Linked DNA regions of Xenopus tropicalis. The protein of the gene in region 3 interacts with the protein of the main gene of each other region in a biochemical or structural test. Links are inferred from orthologs where the notes say so. Each region holds a gene or a part of one and is shown on either strand. Other genes may lie near its edges.

Region 1 (3,653 bases), on a different chromosome or scaffold from region 3:
TATGCGTGTGTGTGTGGCTTTGTATGCGCGTGTGTGGCTTTGTATGCGTGTGTGTGTGTGGATTTGTATGCTTGTGTGTGTGTGGATTTGTATGCTTGTGTGTGTGTGTGTGTGTGTGTGAGTGTGTGTTTGAAAAGAACACACATACCCTTTCTACTGGTAGAGTATGGGGCCAATTCTTTTGTGTTTTGACAGACAACAGATTTTCTGCAGGGAAAAATGCAACTGAGAAAATCACCTAGTGTGCCTTATTTATGTTGGTGTCTGAGGTGCAGGAAGAATGTAACTTGCCTAAGGCTACAAAGGCCAAGTAGAATTGGAGTAACGATTAATTATGCAGAAAAATACTTTTTTTCAGTTGCTTTCTATTTTTTTTTTTACTGTTTTCTAAAATTAAAGTTTAAAGTTCCTTTCTAAGGTGTTTTAGTGTTGCAGCTCAGTAATCTAGCTGCCTCGGAACTGTTAGAATTTGCTACGTTAGTTGATACATTTCCCAGTAGCAATTGTGGAATATTAGCAATTATTGTATCAATAATCCCTGAGCATCATTAAGGTTATAATTGATAGAATGGTTTGTTAATAGATACAATAGTTTATCAGGCCCGAACATTTGAAATATTTAATAATTAGGACAGTTTTACAGTTGATGCTCGCCACCCAGAGCTGCTCCAGGGAGACAGTGTCATAGCAAATGCTCAATAGCTGCTGTTGGCTAGTGAAGTTGCAAGAGTTGAGAAGAATCTGTTTGCTTGCCCTTAACTTTATGTGGGATCAGACCATGTTAGTAAACATACAAATGAGGGCTGTATCCAGCTGACACCATGATAACTTAATTTTAATTAAGTTTTCTTTTAATTTTAGTCATCCGTATTTTCCTTTTTTGCACTAATGGGAAAAAGCCTATATTAGCATTTGAGATAAGGAGCAGCTTTTTTAAGATAAGGCTTCCCCTTCTTTCCTCAAGTAGTTTGTTTAATGTGTTTCTCCTCTGTTGACAGCTTGAAGTTGGAAAGTAAAAGTGGTTTCATTTTCTTGTTTAGTGATAGAGAAATCGGTAAACCATAGACATTTCTTAATTAAATGAATAGGCAAGAATTCTGTTAAGCAGAAGGCCTGTTTCTTTAGCTCATTAATACAGTACTTTTAAAGGACATTTCAACCCAAAAAGTTTTGCCTAATAAAAGAAAACATAATTCCAAGCAGCTTTCCGATATGAATTTATTTTAAAAAATTTCAGTACTTTAAAAGTTATTTGTAAGTGTAATTGCTATTGAAAGCAGCGCTTGAAGAATTTTGTGCCGGAGAATTATACCCCATTGAAGAGAATGGTGTTCGACTGCTAAAAGAGGTTGGACACATTCCAATGAATTGGCTCAAGCTTTTCTAAAAATATTAGTTCATTTAAAACGTCCTGACAGTAAAGTTTTAATACATAGAGAAACTGTACCATCCTCAGAAATCCTCATCAGGACTCTTGCCCAGGGAGCCCCAAATATTAACCTATTGGTCATGTGGGCAGAGGGCCTTGCCAGCAAGTAGAATGTAGTACCAATAATGAAAAAAAGGCCCATGTATGTATGGCCATGCCCCATTGTGCCATCGCAACATGCAAATCACACATTTACATCTCAGGGGGCCACCCCCTTGTAGCGGCCCTTTAGGGAAATATGGAACTGCTGGTTTTAAGGTTCCCCACTTGGCTATTGGAGAAAAAAAATTGTTGCAGGTGTTTAAAGTAAAGTGTTAGGGAACTTTTGTGCCAGCACAGCTCATGACGTGGGCCTGTATGTATCAGGCTGTCTTGCTGTTCATATGCCTTTAAGAAGCAGTTTTAACGCGTTTGAAATAGCTATTGTGCTGCAGGCACTTAAAGAAAGGAACTATTGGATCTTACTTTTTTTTTTTTCTTTTTAAAGTCTATGACCTTTTGTGTTTATTAATAACCATACAATTTCCTTTTTTATAAAGTGCATTGAATTCTAGTTCCACTTGAGTTAAGCTGTTTGTGTTTCATTTGTGTTGATCCAGTTGCAGCATTGCAGCTTTTTTTTATATTATCCTGGAATCATCAAGGCATTTTATTTTCCTTAGGTGACATTTCGGACAAGAATTTACCACTGTAACATAAACAGTCAGGGGGTGATCTGTCTCGACATCCTGAAAGATAACTGGAGCCCAGCACTCACAATTTCCAAAGTCCTCCTGTCTATCTGCTCTCTGCTCACAGACTGCAACCCTGGTAAGGACCTCTCTTGTGAAAAATTGCATTAATATGCCTTGAGAGCTATAGAACAATATTGTTTCCTATTATTATCTGGGATATTTATTCTCTGCTCATGGCCTGTGTGTAAAGTAAGATGCAATTAACAGCAATTACCTTGGGCAGCCTATAAGCACCTACCAATCTAGTGCTGTCAGATTATTATTGCCTTGTCAGAATATTATTGCCTTGTGTTTTTTGTGACCTTGCGGACTTACCAGGTGGTGGGGTTACTTCAGGAGTTATGCTTTTAATATCTCCTTGCATGAAGCATTTATTAGAATACAATTTATAAAAGTATTTTATTTCTCTAGCTGGAAGCAGTTCATCATCTATGCTTAAAGCTGTTGTTAACCATCTTCAACCATAATTCAAGCATATTTAGTTAATATTAAGAGAACACTGCAATATTTGGTTTCCTGTGCAGTATTCCGATTAGAAAAACAAGTTTTCTGGGGCTGGCAGTTTGCACAACTAATTTGATTTCTTATCATAATTATTTAAATTGATGCAACCGATATATAAATGAGGGTATCCTTTTGGGTGAAAATGTTTAAAGAGAAGTTGTACCTGCCACTAAATGTTCCTTAGAATACCCTGTCTATGTTCTGATTAAAATAGGTTTGTAATAAAGGCTGGAAAGTGTTCCCAGGTAGCAACCTCTTAAAGCCTATAAGCCTGTATCTTCTACTGTTCTCTTGTTCAAAAGCAAACCTCAGGGTTACTTGACCTGTGTAAAATTTGGCAAATTGAATTACATTACCCTAAATTACTGCATTATGGCTTTATCATTTATTAAGTCCCAAAGTGCCTGCACTTAACTTCTTTAATATGGGGTACCCCCATATTCTCCTTTATAATCCAGATCTCCTTTATCACCTGGCTGATACTACTACATTGTCAAAACCAGGACTGCAGAGAATATAAACAGCCAGAAAGATAATAAAAAGTACACAAAGGGAGGGCAAGCATTATAATAAGTATAATATGCAGAGAGATGAAGTGCCACATGGTACTGGCACATGGAATTGTATAATGCTTTCAGGAAGTCATTGGATGATGCTTATTCACACTTATGGAGACAGAATGCAGAAAAATGGATATGGCAACCATAACAAAAATGGGAGGTATAGTCCCAGTTATACATCATTTTATGTAAAATTCATTTCTAGGTATTGGATTAGCTATATATTAGTTTAGGTAAGTGCAAAAACACAACATAAATATAATATACTAAAGGGAAGAATATTAAAAGCTACTATTCATCCACAACACTGCTTTTTATTAGGTTTCTGAGAATGGTTAATAACAATTCTGCTCATTCTAATACCTGTATTCAGTCCGTTATCCTTAATTTACTTAATCTTATTAGTCATTATAGAGCAGAGCCTGA
Region 2 (4,352 bases), on a different chromosome or scaffold from region 3:
GGCTCCAAGGTAGCCAGGGCCGGATTTATCTTCAGGGCGCCCTGAGGCCACCCCCGTTGGTCGCCCCGCCCGCCCCCTGTGCGCATGCGCGAACGCGCGACACACCCCCGTGCGCAGGTGCGAGTGGGCATGCGCAAACCTTTAAAGAGGTCCCGACTGCTCCGTATGGAAGCCAAATGTAAAAATTTTGTTGCCGCCCCTAAACTTCTGCTGCCCTAGACCCGGGCCTTTGTGGCCTTTCCACAAATCCGGGCCTGAAGGTAGCGATGCGGGCCAGCCATTGGTGGAGCATGGGAGGCATGACACCTGAGGGGTTAAAAAGTGTACCAGCAGTGCAGGCTGGTCTTTCTGTTCTGTGCTGGTGAGGGGGTATGGTCCGCATCTGACCCTCCCACCCAAAAAAAAAAACAAATTGTGTTGTCGATTCTTGCATGGAGGAGTCAGTATTTATGTTTATATTTGTTAAAGTGGTCTGCTGTGGGTTATCAGAGGCTGGCAAGTGTTAGATGGTGTCAGTATCTCTTTAATCATACTTTTACTTCCAAGTCACTGCTTGTAAACAAGCTCAACAGAACTTCTTTTAATACAACTTTTTCAGGATAGGAGTAACAGTGAGTGCAACAAACCCACAAAAAATAGAGGTTCACTGAGGCTTCATTTTTGATATATGTGTGGAAAACAGAATCTCTTACCCAGGGTTGGGGCATGGGTGCAGAACATAAAGGGCTAGTTGGCCTTTAAATGAACTTTTAGTATAATGTAAACATTGATGTTCTGAAACAATTTCCATGTGGTGTCCAGTTTGGGATTTCAGCAGCAGTGATATTTACCCCAGGAACCAGCCAGTGGCTTGAATGAGAGACTAAAAGACAAACAGGAGAGGGTCTAAACAGCAAGATAAGTAATAAAAACAAAAACAATAAGATTGTGGCCCCAGAGACTAAAATATGTCTGGCTTCCGAGGTCAGTGGCCCCCATTTGAAAACTGAAAAAATAGGAATGCAAATAATTAAAAACCTATGAAAAATAAATAATGAAGACCAACTGAAACAGTTGCTAGGAATAGGATATTTTATAAGGAACTAAAAGTTAATGTGAATATTTAACAATATTTAGCAGTATAGCCAAACCAGTTTCCAAACACCTTCAATTGCTAAAGGCATAGTGCTGCCACAGGAAAAATGTTGCTTGATGCCAATGTTACAAATCGTGTAAAAACATAAACAATAGTTTGGAGAATGCGGGCATCGATCCCGCTACCTCTCGCATGCTAAGCGAGCGCTCTACCATTTGAGCTAATTCCCCTCCACATGCTCCCTTTCCCTTCTACTTATTAAATGTGTAAAAGCGCGAACCCGGCAGCCAATCAGCGTTTCCCACTTGATCCGAATGAATGGGAGGCAAGATTAGCAGCGGAAGTGACGTGTGGGTTTGCGGCTGGCGCCCGTTCTGCCTCTCTACGCGCTGACGTCTCATGGTGCGTGGGCTCCGGTCCTGGGCGGCGGAGAAGATGGCGGTGTGCGCAGGTCTGTGTATGCTGGGCCGGGGAGCATAAAAGCCGATGTTGGGGTTTGGAGGGGCAGGGATTGAAGTTGTGTGTGAGGCGCACTCTCGCCGTATGGTTTCAGGGATAAGATGACAAAAGAAAACTCTTGCTTTTCGGGGGTTCTCATTGCCTGCCCATCCTTCAGTTTCCCCCCGGTTGAGTGAATAGGAATTTGGCAGTCAGGGGTCTTAACCCTTTACATGGACTGTTGCTCCCAGCATCCCTTCTGGGTATCTGACCCCTTCTCTGTAGGATCTACTTATCCCTTACAATTTGTTCCATTCAATGTGTCACTTTTACTTTCCCTACTTTTTTGATCTATAGCAGAGCCGAAATGATTTCACATGTCTCTAGCAATGTGTCCTTTCTGCCTTCCTGTGTGCTTCTGCAGTCTATCTAGCTGCTCCATCTAGCTGCTCCATCTAACTGCCCACCCTGCCCCCATATTGGGCCACATGCAGTGCCCACCCTGCTGATGATGTGGCCTTTTGCATATTCCCCCCCCCCCCATATGTCAGCAAGTGGTATGGCCTGCATGGCTGCCCCTTACAGATAGCATGATCTGCTTAGTAACCAACTCTGAATGTGGCATGGCTTGTGCTGTCCAACCATAAAACACTGCCATGTCCAGCTTTGTTCTGTCCCCTGCACCATCCAGTTGCCCTTCCTTCGTTTGCTGCACCCCTTCCTGCACATATTTTGCAATGGCCCTAAACATCTTTGCTCTACAGGATCCAGTCCTCCTGTTGCCATGCAGCCTACATATATTTTGTTCTGCATCTCTCTACTATCCCACTTTTGTTCAGCTTTCTGGAACTAATAAGTTGTGTTCTGCTGCTGCTGAATATATATATATGTATTTGCATTTTCTGGGTGTAGTGTGCCCTGAAGCATCTTACACACCTTGATTCTCTGTTACTGAAGTGTTCTTCCCAGCCTAGTATCACATGCCCATCAGAAATCCACTATCCAGCCATCTTACAAACCTGATCTACCTTCTGCCTATAGTGTTTTAATTTTTTCTATGCTCTGCATGTTGTTTGCTAATGAAAAAATCCCAAGCCTTCCTTTTCCATTAAATTTGGCCCTGAAACCTGTCTGTCTCACTCACTCTGCTACAGTTGGCTGACACATTTCCTGGCCTGATAGTCATACATTTTCCAGCTCTGTTGCACCTTTCACTTTCTGTTTTGTTATATAGTACTCTAATCATCTTGTTTTCAAGGAGTAGCTGTCACTTCCCCTACTTTGATAGATTTAAGTTTAGAAATTAATCATAAGATTATTGTACCACTTATTCTCATAATTTGCTATGGAAGTTGTGTTTCTTCTGTAGATACTTGGTCAAGAGAGAAGTGGTGCAGTAGACACCTATGTATTCAGGGCCTCTGCAGGAGGTTGGTCTGAGTTGGGTAGGCCTCTTGAGTGACTGTCTGGTGATCATCCATGGGCATCTCAGGAACTGGCTCATGCCAAGCTGGGGGGTGGACCTGTGGATTACAAGCAGAACAGTTGTTGTTGAACCTATCAATATATTTGCATTTATTGGTTGGAAGTTCCTAAATTTAAATGTGAAATCTGTATTTGAAATACAAATATGTAAAATTTTAAAATATTTTGAGAAGCAGTGTCTTTATGCTTTACCACTTTTCAATACATATTATTGCGTCCTAACAGGTGTTAAGATGCCTCGTAACTTCCGATTACTGGAAGAACTTGAAGAAGGGCAGAAAGGTGTGGGAGATGGCACTGTCAGCTGGGGCCTTGAAGATGATGAAGATATGACACTCACTAGGTGGACAGGAATGATAATTGGACCCCCTAGGGTGCGTTCTGTAAACTGCGTGTCTTGTAGCAGGCAATCTTGTTTGCAACTTTTTCTGGATAAAACAATTCTTTGAACATAACATGTTTGTGTTGGAACCTGTATATGAAAATATATACTAGCTTGATAGTATTGACAAATACCTCTAAGCATCGGTTCCATAGTGCTGGTCACCTATGTCACGTGCCATTTTTACACCGCATTTTTATGCCATGGTTTTAGAAAGTCCCTACATGGCATAAAAAAATGAAATAAGCATTACTATAGAAAACACAGTAATATACTTGTTGTAAAAAACACACATTACATGCTGATATTTGGCAAGAGACACTAGCATGTGTGATTTCACTTTTAGGAGCTGATACGCCAGAACAAATGATAGTCAATGATGTGTCATAAATATGCAGTGTTTTTTAGGATGGTTGCTGAATTTTTGCAAGATTTCCTTCCTAAATCGTATGCCATTTTTACAGTATTTCAGCAATCTCACTATTTAAAACCCTTTGTTCCGGTCCTTGCATTCATTACAGAAGTCTTTGTGCAAGTTATTACTAATATAAACATACAGTGCAGTTTGTCGTTATTACATCATGTTATGTGTGCCAATGTGCATGACAATGTGATTGACGTAGTGTTGGTGGTTTTTAGGAAACGTGAATTAATGCAAAGGTTTGTTGGCGAGTAGAACAAATCATGGATAATTTAGATATATCATCTGGATCAAGTATGTGCATAAAACACTGATATATTTTACAGGTGTTTCTATGCTGCATTACAGTTTCATGTGTGACACAGCATGTTATTATTGTTTAAATATTTGCTTGGTACTGGTTGGAGTACTACAACATGCTCCTGTTTCCATTCAGTATTCAGAAGGATGCAGTCTCATTTTTGAATAGTCAAATACTGTCCCAAATTTACATACCTGTACTTTAATTTGTATTCTGCATGTTAACTTATTAAGTGATATGACATTCTGGC
Region 3 (3,175 bases):
AGACGCGCTCCCTCGTGCTGGACAACTGCATCGACAGTATGGTGGCCAAGCTGAGCCCCGAGATGAAGAACCGGCGGGCCGCCCTGATATTGGAGCGCAAAGGTGAGAGGTGGGTGACCCCGTAGGGAAGCGTCTCATTATTATCCTTATTATCTCCCTATGGGACCAAACTGGAAATTATATCCTTATAAACACTGCTTAGTGATGTCATCAGTTATAATCGGAGCTTAGTGATGTCATTTCTGTCACATGACTCACTAATAAATACAGTACCCCCTGTTGTAAAATATAAGGATATTAGCAGTCACCTCTGGGTTCAGTTACCTGTATAAAAGCACTCAGCCTGCAGCCTTGTGCCTTTATATGGGCACAGAACCCCTCAGTGACTGCTAATATCCTTATCATTTACAGTAGGGGGTACATTATCCCTTATAATACATGAGTGATACTCAGAGTTCCCTGTATAACTCAGCCTGCAGCCTTGTGCCTTTATATGGGGGGCACAGAACCCCTCAGTGACTGCTAATATCCTTATCATTTACAGTAGGGGGTACATTATCCCTTATAATACATGAGTGATACTCAGAGTTCCCTGTATAACTCAGCCTGCAGCCTTGTGCCTTTATATGGGGGGCACAGAACCCCTCAGTGACTGCTAATATCCTTATCATTTACAGTAGGGGGTACATTATCCCTTATAATACATGAGTGATACTCAGAGTTCCCTGTATAACTCAGCCTGCAGCCTTGTGCCTTTATATGGGGGGCACAGAACCCCTCAGTGACTGCTAATATCCTTATCATTTACAGTAGGGGGTACATTATCCCTTATAATACATGAGTGATACTCAGAGTTCCCTGTATAACTCAGCCTGCAGCCTTGTGCCTTTATATGGGGGGCACAGAACCCCTCAGTGACTGCTAATATCCTTATCATTTACAGTAGGGGGTACTTCATTCACTATATTAATAACGTGTATTTATAAATGAATGGATAATTGCATTGAGCCTACAGATTCCATTAAAAAAACAACCAATAACCTGTACAGGTAGAGCAGTCCCTGTCCTAAAGAGCTTGCACTCTAAAAATAGCTGGACCCCGTTCAGTGCTGAGTAAGGTGCATAATAACTGTTTTATTCCAAGGGTGAGTGTAGGGGTGTAAGGGAGGCAGCTCGGGTGCTGGGCAGGTGGGTGAGCTCTGGGTGTCGCTAATTGGTAGAACCCAGAACAAGGGGAAAGGCCTGTAATTGTAAGAGCCGCCAGCAGAGGTCGCTATGTTCACCCCAAAGCCTGCAGTAAATCTCCTGCCCCGGGCTAATTCTTATTGTGCGGCTATAGAGAGTGGTACTGCCGGGTCTCATTGGTTCTGCTCTTCATTACACTCAAATATGTTGGGGTGCAGCCACGTGGGGTGATTATATGGGCCAAGAATCAGTCCTGTATGGGATTGGGCCTTGGGGGGGATATATATATATATATATATGGGGAACTAAACCCTGCGGCACAGCGCGGCCCAACCAAACGTTACTCAGCTGTTGCCGGACTACAAATCCCAGAATAATGTAACATATAATGAAGGGTGAGGCATGCTGGGAGCTGTAGTCCAGCAACATCAGGGCTGTATTCTTAAAGCAATATTGCCCAATAAAACTTTCCCCCATTAAAATGCAAGAAATCCCCCAATGAGAATCCCAGAGAATCACATGTTTTTCGAGAACTTCTATAGCAAAACTAGGGGGCGCAGTGGGGCAGCGTTATGGGTAACCTGGTCTTGTTGAACTACAACTCCCAGCATGCTCTCTCAGTGAGCGAGGGCTGCACGTCGGGGGCTCCCTGGGGGTCGGGCCACAGGATGTGACGGTTCTGTTCTGTCTCCCTGCAGAGATGGTCCAAGTGGAGGAACCAAGCCCAATTCTCGTGGGCAGTGACAGCAGTTCGTTCCACTTCTCCAGCAGCAGCTCCGACAGCGACGAGCTCTTTTGGTTGGTGAACGATGAGGAAGAGGAAGAGGAGGAGGAGGAGTTCTACCAGGAGTCTCTGTTCGACTGCGGAACCGACGATCTGGACTCCTCGGACTTTGAGTCTGACGATGATGACGATGAGGAAGGCCACTTTTGAATATCATGAATGCGCTCCCCCCCCCCGGCCGTGGAGCAGCCAATCACAGGCGTGGCCTGGAGCTGGGCCGGTACCGGACCGTTACACGCGTGACACATACACTCTACATGTACAGATCTACTTTCCTTCGTGTATTTATTTCCTTTGCATCATGTGACACTGCAGCAACGAGGATTCTGCCGCACCGGGGACTGGGTTTTTCTTTGTGTTTGGGGTGGTTCTGTTGGTTCTATTGGGTCGGGGGCTGAGCAGTTATTAAAGGCACTTTGGATGCTGTGCGCCCCCTATTGTCACCTCTCCCTCTGTAGGGGGGTCAAAAAGGGCAGTATCCTGGCAGGGGGGCAGGTACCATAACGCCTGTTGGTGTATGGGGGGGGGGGGGGTGCAGGTACCATAACGCCTGTTGGTGTATGGGGGGGGGGGGGGGTGCAGGTACCATAACGCCTGTTGGTGTATAGGGGGGGGCAGATAAGGTTCTATTTTGTTACTGAAAAGATTTTTGGAAATAACTTTATTCAGCCTCTTGTCTTTTCTTATGGGGCAGCCTGAAGGGCAGTTAGGGCCGGGTTTGGGGTAAAAAAAAAGTCTAAAGGGGTAATTCACCTTTATATGAACAGTTAGGCTGCAGGATGCAGTTGGGCTTCCTTAGTTTTGCTTTGTTGAGTTATTTAGTTTTTTTTCCCCCCCCAGCAGCTGACTGGTTGCTAGGTTTGTTTTCCCTAGCAACCAGGCAGAGGTGTGAATGAGACTGGAGGGGGGGGGGGGGGGGGGGGGGAGAAGAATAGGATGTTGTGTAACTTGAAGGTAAAGGGGCTATTGGGGCACGTGGAGCATTTTTATTACTTCCCCTTTAAGTTCTTCTGTGGGTTTTAAGGAAGTGGCGGCCTGTGGTTCTGTTTAATTGCCCCGCCCCCCCCCCCCCCCCCGGTGTAGCGCTGAGGCCCCGCCCTGCTCTGTTCCAAGGTGAAGTTCATTACAGAATGGGGTTTATTTGCTGAGATTTCTCCTGTCGGCTCAGAGCTGCCGGGAATCCAAACTGGCTGGGGGGGGTTTCTA

What was found.
Region 1: the proteins of rnf8 (region 3) and ube2e2 form a complex in vitro, tested with the Homo sapiens proteins (2 studies listed by BioGRID). The link is inferred for Xenopus tropicalis from reciprocal best matches to the Homo sapiens genes RNF8 and UBE2E2.
Region 2: the proteins of rnf8 (region 3) and ube2v2 form a complex in vitro, tested with the Homo sapiens proteins (2 studies listed by BioGRID). The link is inferred for Xenopus tropicalis from reciprocal best matches to the Homo sapiens genes RNF8 and UBE2V2.

The regions. Positions count from the first base shown.
Region 1 is NC_030682.2:46,453,351-46,457,003, forward strand, and holds part of ube2e2 (ubiquitin-conjugating enzyme E2 E2), read left to right. Parts: intron 1-2,091; coding exon 2,092-2,239; intron 2,240-3,653.
Region 2 is NC_030682.2:113,259,982-113,264,333, forward strand, and holds the start of ube2v2 (ubiquitin-conjugating enzyme E2 variant 2), read left to right. Parts: upstream 1-1,502; 5' UTR 1,503-1,510; coding exon 1,511-1,526; intron 1,527-1,594; exon of another isoform or gene 1,595-1,776; intron 1,777-3,223; coding exon 3,224-3,372; intron 3,373-4,352. UniProt on the Homo sapiens protein: Has no ubiquitin ligase activity on its own. The UBE2V2/UBE2N heterodimer catalyzes the synthesis of non-canonical poly-ubiquitin chains that are linked through 'Lys-63'. This type of poly-ubiquitination does not lead to protein degradation by the proteasome.
Region 3 is NC_030681.2:2,808,478-2,811,652, forward strand, and holds the end of rnf8 (E3 ubiquitin-protein ligase RNF8), read left to right. Parts: coding exon 1-102; coding exon of another isoform or gene 103-109; intron 110-1,880; coding exon of another isoform or gene 1,881-1,883; coding exon 1,884-2,119; 3' UTR 2,120-2,464; intron 2,465-2,551; 3' UTR 2,552-2,633; downstream 2,634-3,175. UniProt on the Homo sapiens protein: E3 ubiquitin-protein ligase that plays a key role in DNA damage signaling via 2 distinct roles: by mediating the 'Lys-63'-linked ubiquitination of histones H2A and H2AX and promoting the recruitment of DNA repair proteins at double-strand breaks (DSBs) sites, and by catalyzing 'Lys-48'-linked ubiquitination to remove target proteins from DNA damage sites.